2 linked regions of the Sus scrofa genome follow. The protein of the gene in region 1 binds, or shares a complex with, the protein of each later gene. Links are inferred from orthologs where the notes say so. Each region holds a gene or a part of one and is shown in the gene's direction. Other genes may lie near its edges.

Region 1 (4,217 bases):
CAAGGAGGCACAGAGGGGTGAGGAAGCGTATCACATCCCGCTGCAGCCTGTTGCCAAAGATCCCCCCACAGAGACAGGGCCCCCAGGCCGTGGTGACCAGGCCCAAGGCAGGGAAAGGGGTGCTGTCCCTGTGCTCTGCGCTGTCTCTGCTGAAGTTGCGCTGCCGCCTGAGAAAGCAGGCTCTATCGAGGAGGCTGCTAGTCGTATAGTGGATGCTGTCATAGAGCGAGTCAAGGCCTCGGGAGCACTGATGACAGAGGGGAAGATCAGTCATGTGTTCCTGTCCAGTCCTTCCGAGTCAGGCCCAGAGACTGAACAGCTAGAGAGTGCTTCTCCAGGGAAGGCGCATGCTGTCCAGCCTGCGGAGACCCCACCAATGGGCAGTGTTTGCAGAGAAGCCTCTGAGAACCTTACAGGATGCGTTGCTGGAAGGGAGGAGCCAGAGAAGATTATTTCGCCTGTCCTGGGATCTGGGCCACAACAGGTAAGCACAGCAGAAAATAAAATCAACTGGTCGAGAAGCAAATTCCCTTAAGAGTCTCTGTGATATGCTGGTAAAAATATAGGTCTTTTTTGTTTAGAAGGCTTGTATTCATTAGATAGGTTGCCAGGTTACTAGTCAGCACCACTCAGAGAGGCACGTCATCTCAGGGTTGGACAGATTCTGCTTCCTGTATCCTAAACTCCTGGCTTAATTGCTTAAAGCCTATAAATGCTCTGTCTGTCACACTGGAGCAATTGTGACTTTCCTAACCTGGAAAACAGCAGCTAGATCCCAGGTGTTCTACAATGATAAAGGAATTTAGCAGATGTTTTTATTCACATGGTTTAGTCCTTTTTCTGGAGAACCACAACAAACATTGTTGAAAAAGTGTATTTTAATATCAAGCCTGAAACTCCTTTCTTTTCCTATCATTCTAGTCTCTGTCCTGAGCAAATTTAGAGTCAGAGTAGTTTCATGAACAGCTGTAAGTATCATTCTGAGCCAGTGGCCCAGCATCCCAAATGGTGGTATTAGGTCATTGGTGGAGGCTGAGGGGGAAGGGAACTCCCTCCTTTTCCTGCCTGAGGAGCAGACCTCCAGTTCCATTGCCTGTTGCTCTTGGGCAGCAGTCTGGGAATTCAGGACCCTGCACAGCACAGGGGATAGGATGCAGGATTTCCGCCCAAGCCTAGTCTGCTGAGCTGCTGTCACAGGGCAGACGTTGTGTCTGCTTATCTTGGTGAAGCAGCTGCACCGAGCAGATTGCTCACACAGCAGCCTGTTCCATCTATGGGTAACCATGTCCAGAGAGAGCGAAAAGAAACCACTATTGCTCAGTGGAAATAAACGATCTGAATAAAACTTCTTATTGGGGGTTGAGGCTGAAGCTCAAACTGGAGTCTGACTCGGTATTGACTCCTGAAGTCGTTCAAGGTCAGTTTGATTAACACTTTGAGACCACCACCTGTTACCAGGTATAGTCAGAGGACCTATCTCCATGCTTGCCCTAGGCTCTTGTAGGTAAGAAACCTATTTTATTCTTATTGTTTGTTTTTGCTGTTCTAATTTTTGAAAACCCCTTTACTGTAGTATGTGTTAAGAATGTGGGGGTGGGACATGTAGAGAAATGAACAAAAAGAATAAGGAAAGAAGTTGGTTTTGAAAAAGAGCAATTTAAACACAGTGGTCATTTTTGCTGATAAAGGGTTTTTAACCACTTATAATCTATTTTTCTAGTTGAGGGATTTCAGAAACCTAGCAGTATTTTTAGTGACTTTAGGCTTTCTGTTTTATTAATGTTTTGGATTGTTCGTGACAGAAATTTGTTGGCCGCTCTCTCAGAATTTAAACAAGAATATCTCTAATTTTTAAAATAAGGCACAACAACAAGTCTATTTTGGGGGCCCTGGCAGGTTGACATTTTAGAAGAATGGGAGTGGCTGTAAGCTGATGCCTGGCTATGTTCTTTTCATTTGGGTGCTGCGTCTTTGGCCACATGGGCTGGAATTATTTCTCTTTCTGGCTCTGTAGTCAGATTAACCCAAGGAAGTACGAACTGTATAAGGCTTGTGTCTAGAGGTACCTTATGAAAAAAGACAGAAACCAGGAAGTTTTTAGACTTTGATTTTTTAATAGTCCACAATACAGTAATGATGCAAAGAAATTATTTTTAAGATTTTAAGGTTTTAGGAAGGAGAATGAGAAGAAAATCAAGTTTCAACAGTATCTCTGGGTTTGGGGTTGGCTCATATGTGTGGGCGAGTTACTTCTTCTGCTATGAAGAGTCATATGTGCTCTGTGCTTATGGCTTCAAAGAACAGGGAGAAGTAGCCAGTGATGAAGAAATTGGTGCTTTCTTCAGAAAATAGCCAGGATTGGGGAAAGACCCCGGTCACATTGCCCTCGAGAAAAAGCACCTGAGTGTGATCTCAGACTAAAGGGTGTTTTCTAGAAAGTTCACATTTCATTCATGAATTTAACCACACTGTTTTGTAAGTGAGGAGACAGAGGTTAACTCCTGACTTGGAAGGAGCCCCATGGCATTGGCTTCTGTTTTTATATACTGCTGTTGGCAAAGCCAAATAGAAATTGAGGAAAACACAAAACTTTGAGTTAGAATGAGGGGATGTGGCCCTTCATCCATCGAGAGTGTTGACCACAGTGCTTTGGAAAGTTGGATGTGCATGACTGAGTTGGGCCAACACACCCCACAAGTCTCAGTAATCTCTGTTTACCATTGTGAGTGGTTGCCACTTGCCAAGACACACATTTTCAGTTGATGGGTATAGGATAGTAAGGATGTACCAAAAATCACATCCTCAAATAAAATAAAAATCATCAACCCTCTCTAAAAAACAAAACAAAAAAAAAACTATAAGAAACCTATTTTACTCACTTAGAAATATTTCAGTCAAGGAGTACTTCTAAGGGGATTGCTTAGTCATATTTTTTTTAAACTTTAATCACATTTTATGAAGTGTAGGAGAGATTTTGGTTCTTTTAATAAGGAAGAGTGCCCATTTTTTTAAATGCTAGTGAGGTTATATAATTATGAATAAGGACAAAGAAAGGAGACTTGTAAATGTTCAGTTATAGGAATGTAACTTTCCTAAGTCTAAAGTAGGCCTTTATTACAGGTCACAGTATGCAGTTAAAAAACAGTGGTCATATATATTAATATAATTAATCATATATCTTAATATAATTTATCCTTTGGTAAAGAACCACCTCTAACTTTTGGTATAGGGAACTCTGCTAGAGTAGTGACATGACTAGATTACTAACAATCACAGAAAAGTATTTTCAAATGAAATTGAGATCATGATTCCATTTGTATTTGGATTATCAAGGTGAATTTTGACTGTTCAGCCATCATTTCCCTTTAAAGAAGTATCAAAGCATGATTTTTGCCTCAGACATCATTTTATCACTTCCTTCCTGTATATGCTTGACCATATGGTAGTTATTAAATTTTGGTCTGTTGAGCTTAATTCTAAAGACAACATGAAAAGACTTTTCCTTGAGAAAAGGAATTGCTTGTTTTTTATTGTTTTGGTTTGGGAAAAAATAAAAGTGAAAACAAAACATAATTTACTAGAGTAGTTCAGTCTCATCAGTTTCAGTGATGGAAAGATCAGTATGTATAAAATGTTTTAAAGAAAGTGAGACTCTTTCCAAAGGCTTTGTCTCATTCTCAGCAGCTGTTTTTGTTCTGTACAAATACCTGCAAATGTCTCTTGCCTCTTTGATGATGATCCAGATGGACTACTAGCTTAAGCTGTCAGTCTCTTCCCTTCAAGCTTGTGAGTGTACTTTTCCACATGCTGGTCAGCACCACACTCATTTGAATTGTCATTAAAAGTCAATAATGGGAGTTCCCATTGTGGCGCAATAGAAATGAATCCAACTAGTAACCATGAGGTCACGGGTTCAATCCCTGGCCTCGCTCAGTGGATTTGGGATCCAGCATTGCCGAGAGCTGTGGTGTAGTTCACAGACGTGGCTCGGATCCCACGTTGCTGTGGCTGTGGCGTAGGCTGGCGGCTGCAGCTCTGATTCCACCCCTAGCCTGGGAACCTCAATATGCCACAGGTGCAGCCCTAAAAAAAGAGTCAGTAGTGAAAATGGAAGTTCAGTGGACGTTGAACTGCATCTTCGCTTAGCTACAAACCCACATAGAGGCTAAGGAAAAACCATACAACCATGCGATTAAGGACTAGCTTAGCACTGGTCA
Region 2 (4,796 bases), on another chromosome or scaffold:
TTGAGGTGGGGCTGTCTTGCGTACAGTAGAATGCCGAGCAGCATCATTCTGCTGCTCAACCCAGTAGATGCCAGTCGCACCCCTAGTTGTGATAACCAACCAAAAATGTCTCTGAATGTTGCCAGATGTCCCCAAAAGTTGGGTGGTGGTGGTAAAATCCCTTCCTCCATTGAGAACTGAAGCTGTCACCTCTTGAGCCCCAGTTTCCTCACCTATAAAGTGGGGGAGAATTATGACAGCTGCTCAGGATAATGTGAGGGGTCGGTAGAATCCTGGGAGGGATATTTTTTGGCTAGAAGTAAATTCTCCCCGGGGTCAGCTGCCTTGGAAGTTGGTCAGGATCCAACCATGACTTTCCTCATCTCTGAAATGGGTTCTCACAGTGGCAGCAGATAATGTACATGGAGCTCTTTGCACTATGCTTGACACCTAGCCAGTGCTCAGATTCTAGGCATTCCTGTTGGAAATCCCAGTTCTGCCTCCTGCTGGCTGAGGGGCCTTGGGCAAGTTATGTCACCATTCCAGGCCTCAGTTTCCTCATCTTGAAAATGGGGCGATAGGAATTCCCACTGTGGTGCAACAGGATTGGCAGTATCTCTGCAGCTCCAGGATATAGGTTTGATCCCCAGCCTGGCACAGGATCCAGCGTTGCCACAGTTACAGCATAAGGCTCAGATCTGATCCCTGGCCTAGGAACTCCACATGCTGTGAGGTGCCCCCTCCAAAAAAAGGAAAAAAGAAGATGGGATGATAATAGCACCTGCTTCCTGGAGTTGCATTAGTCGACCTGGGTGCAATTGTAGTAACTGTCACCATTCTTAATAGTCATACTTGAGTTTTAGTGAGCCCCTGGTTTGGGGACACCCTCACCTCAATCCTCCAGTGCTGTCCCCTCACAATGTGGGCCTTGAGGAGGTGCCGCTGGGCTGGCTGGGCCTCCTAAGCCTCCAAGGTGTGGTCAGCAGCAGCGGGCGACCGAGCTGAGAAGCCGGAAGTTGGGACAGGCTGTGTCTGCAGGAAGGGGGCTGGGCTGCTCACATAAGCACTCTTGAGTGTTTGCGTATAATGTACACAGGGGCAGGCGTGGGGGTGTGCACACACTCGTCAGCCTGTGATCTGTGCACACCCCTATGGGTACACGAGGGTGCGAGCCCACCCAGGTCAGCCCCTGGAGCCTGTACACATGGGGGAGGCTGCTCTTTGTGTCCACACTAGTGGGCTTGTGAGTGTGTGTATTCTGTGTACACCTTGGGTCTCCTCTCGGTTCAGGGAGTTGGGGCCATTCCTGGGATGCCTCCAGAGAAGCAGGCTCAGCCCTGGAGTGGGGGCTGGGAGGAAGGCCCTCTAGATGCCCCAGAGCCCCAGAGCCGGCCTGTCGCGGGGGTTGCTGGGAGCTAGCAGGAAAGAGGAAGTGGCAGGCGAGAGGCCCTGGCAAGGCTGAGGTTCAGGAAGAGGGCGGGGCCCTCAGCCGGGACCCAGGATGGCGGAGGCTGGTCCCCCTTTGGACCGGGAGCTGGAGGTGGGGGCTGGGGTCCTTATGGGGTGGTTGGCAGAAGAGGACCCCAAGCAGCACGGGCCAGAGGCCCTGCCCTTGGCTCTGGGTTTTGGACTGAGGGGAGGAGATGGGGCGCTGGCCTTGGAGTTTTCTGTTTGAAAGATAAAAGTATCGGGGGGCCCTTTGGGTCTTCCAGGTTGGAGAGACAGAGGAGAAAGAGGACAGGGCTCTGCTCTTTAGGGTCCTGGTTGTAGAGAATGAAAGGAGGGGAGACAGGGCCTGTCTCTTAGTTTGGGGGTACAAGAGAAGGGAAGACGAGGCCTGTCCCTCAGCATCTAGTTTGACGGCACAGCAGTGAGGAGTGGAGGCCTGCTCTTGAGACCCCAACTTTATGGTTTTGGGGGGCACCAGAGGCCTGCCCTTGATACTTCCTTGTTTGGGGAGCAACAGAGGGAAGATGAAACCCGCTTTCAGGACCTCTTACTTTGGGGGATAGGGGAGTAGAGATGGGGCCTATCTCCAGTTTGGGGGGCAGCAAAAGGGGAAAAGGATCTGCCCTCAGGACTGTGTCACTTGGGGGGACAGCATAAGGGAGATGAGGTCTGTCCCTGGAACCCTCTAATTTGAGAGGACAAGGGAAGGGCAATAGTACCTGTCCTCAGGGAACCCCCAACATGGGGGACACAGTGGTGGAGTGATGGGGCTTGTCTTCCAGAGTTTCACTGCATAGGAACAGATGAAGGGAGACAGAACTATACCCATAGGCGAGGGGACAGGGAAGGAAGAAGGCCCTGCCCTGGGGACACCACAGTTTGGTGATGTCAGTAAGCAGGGACAGCGTCTTGTCTCACTTCCCAGTTTTGGTGGCGGTGAGGGGTGGTCAGAGAACATGGAGCTGGCCCTGTGTCAGGAGTCCCACCCTGAGAGGAGGCCAAGCCAGGTTGGCTGAGTATGGTCTGCACCCCAGAGTCCTCCTGGTCCCCACTGACCCCACTCTGTCTTCCGTCCCCCCTGCAGAGTGAGCCCCGCAGCTGGTCCCTGCTGGAGCAGCTGGGCCTGGCGGGTGCCGACCTGGCGGCCCCCGGGGTGCAGCAGCAGCTGGAGCTGGAGCGGGAACGGCTGCGGCGGGAGATCCGCAAGGAGCTGAAGCTGAAGGAGGGAGCTGAGAATCTGCGTCGGGCTACTACCGACCTGGGCCGCAGCCTGGGTCCTGTGGAGCTTGTGCTGCGTGGCTCCTCACGCAGGCTTGACCTGCTGCACCAGCAGCTGCAGGAGCTGCATGCCCATGTGGTGCTGCCTGACCCCGCAGCCACTGCCCATGGTGAGCCAGGCTTTCCCAGGGATGCGGGACTGTGGGGGTTCCAGGGCTCACCCATCACTACTGACCCCCAGGGAAACACACTCATGACAGCTCTATCTCAGAATACAACCAGAAAAGAAGCCAAAACCAACACCCAGAGAAAGGTACACACAGGTACACCCACACCTTGGCAACACCCAAAGGATTTACACCCACATGAGTATCTAGACTCACATGGTCACACACCACTTGGACAACCCCCAAAGACTTGTTCACATAACAGGAATTCCTCTGGGGCTCAGTGGGTTAAGGATCCGATGTAGTCACTGCAGTGGCTCTGGTTACTGTAGTAGCATGGGTTCGATCCCTGACCTGGAACTTCCACATACTGCGAGTGCAGCCCCCAAAACCCCCAAATAACAGAAAATGCATCATTTTGAAGGTTATAGTTCAATGATGTTGAGAAGACGCACATTATTGTGCAAAGGATCTGCACAACGTTTGCATCTCGTGACCAAAGACCCTTAAACTCATCACATCAGGAGCCAGTGACCCTCTCACACAGTCATGCCAGCACCTGTCTTAATGTATGAATATCCAGAGACTCTCATAGACTCACCACAACACCCAGAAACTTCCATACCACCACCCAGCACCTAGAGAAATACATAGTCACACGAACAACACCCAGAGACTTAGACATGTTCACACCAACCCCCAGAGAGTCACACTTACACAGATCTGCCCAGTCCTTAAGATGTTCTCCAATCCATCAACAGCCCAAAACTTACATACGCAATCAGACAAGACTCAACACCACTTACCTCAACACACCTACACTGCCTAGATGACAGCTGAAAACCAACACTGTCACATCAACACTCTGAGATAGAGTTCAGCCAGCACCCAAAACTTCATCCAGTCACAGCTGTACCCAGAGTCCCCCGCATAGTCACAATACTGTCTAGAGCCTGACACAGATCTCTGTCAGCATCCAGAGACACGCATGTCTGACTGTACCAACACCCGGACACTTGGACACAGTGGTCCCAGTGCCAGGAAATCTGAACATGCCGTTGTGCCGACAGTCGGAATCATATGCATAAAGTCACCCCAGCACCCAGAGCCTCACACAGTCACTCCAACACCTCACATCTCACAGTTACACTAGCACCTGGGGTGACACATATGCTCAGTTATGCCAACACCCTTCGGGTCACAGACATAAGCATAGCCACACCCATGGACAGCCACACAGCCATGTACATAGTTGGGGGCTTCTGTACAAAGGTATGTATAGTCACACCAACACCAGGCACTCATGCACCCCTGGACACTTGCCCATGCTCATTCATGCTGGTCCTATCCCAGCGCTGAGAGGGTTTCCTGTGACCGATGGTGTGGTTGGGTCCCCTGGCCCCCAGTTCTTTCTCCTCCCGGCCCTCCCGGGTGGGTTCTCTCAGCTGGGGCAAAGCTTCCTGGGCAGATGGAGGTGAGGGCCATGGTGACTCTGTCCCACCCACCCCCTCCAGATGCCCCCCAGTCCCCCGGTGCAGGTGGCCCAACCTGCTCAGCCACCAACCTGAGCCTCGTGGCTGGCTTGGAGAAGCAGCTGGCCATCGAGCTGAAGGTGAAGCAGGGGGCGGAAAACATGATCCAGACGTACAGCAACGGCAGCACCAAGGTGGGGGCAGCACGAGTGAACACACCCCTGTGTGCACATACGCCTGGAGCACATCACACAGTGAGGGGGTTTGGGGGGGTACCTACATGTCCCCCATGGGAGGTTTGGGCCCTCTGGGTTGGGAACAGAGGGACTGATGAATGACTGAGTGGCAGAACTGGGGTGCAGGCAGCTCATGGTGGTATGTGGGAAACAGAGTGACTGGGTGATGTCAGACAGACACACAGCAGTTAGCCCTGGAGACCCAGCAGCCTCTGTGGACAGGGCAACATGCAGCCTCTCACTGCTACTGGCATCTCTCTGACATGTGCACGTGC

What was found. The genes of interacting proteins can lie anywhere in the genome.
Region 2: AKAP13 (region 1) and PKN1 share a complex: the UniProt entries of both Homo sapiens proteins name them as parts of the signaling complex. The link is inferred for Sus scrofa from reciprocal best matches to the Homo sapiens genes AKAP13 and PKN1.

What each region holds. Positions count from the first base shown.
Region 1 is NC_010449.5:88,070,508-88,074,724, forward strand, and holds part of AKAP13 (A-kinase anchor protein 13), read left to right. Parts: coding exon 1-477; intron 478-4,217. UniProt on the Homo sapiens protein: Scaffold protein that plays an important role in assembling signaling complexes downstream of several types of G protein-coupled receptors.
Region 2 is NC_010444.4:64,817,794-64,822,589, reverse strand, and holds the start of PKN1 (serine/threonine-protein kinase N1), read left to right. Parts: upstream 1-1,406; 5' UTR 1,407-1,480; coding exon 1,481-1,519; intron 1,520-2,512; coding exon 2,513-2,816; intron 2,817-4,327; coding exon 4,328-4,479; intron 4,480-4,796. UniProt on the Homo sapiens protein: PKC-related serine/threonine-protein kinase involved in various processes such as regulation of the intermediate filaments of the actin cytoskeleton, cell migration, tumor cell invasion and transcription regulation.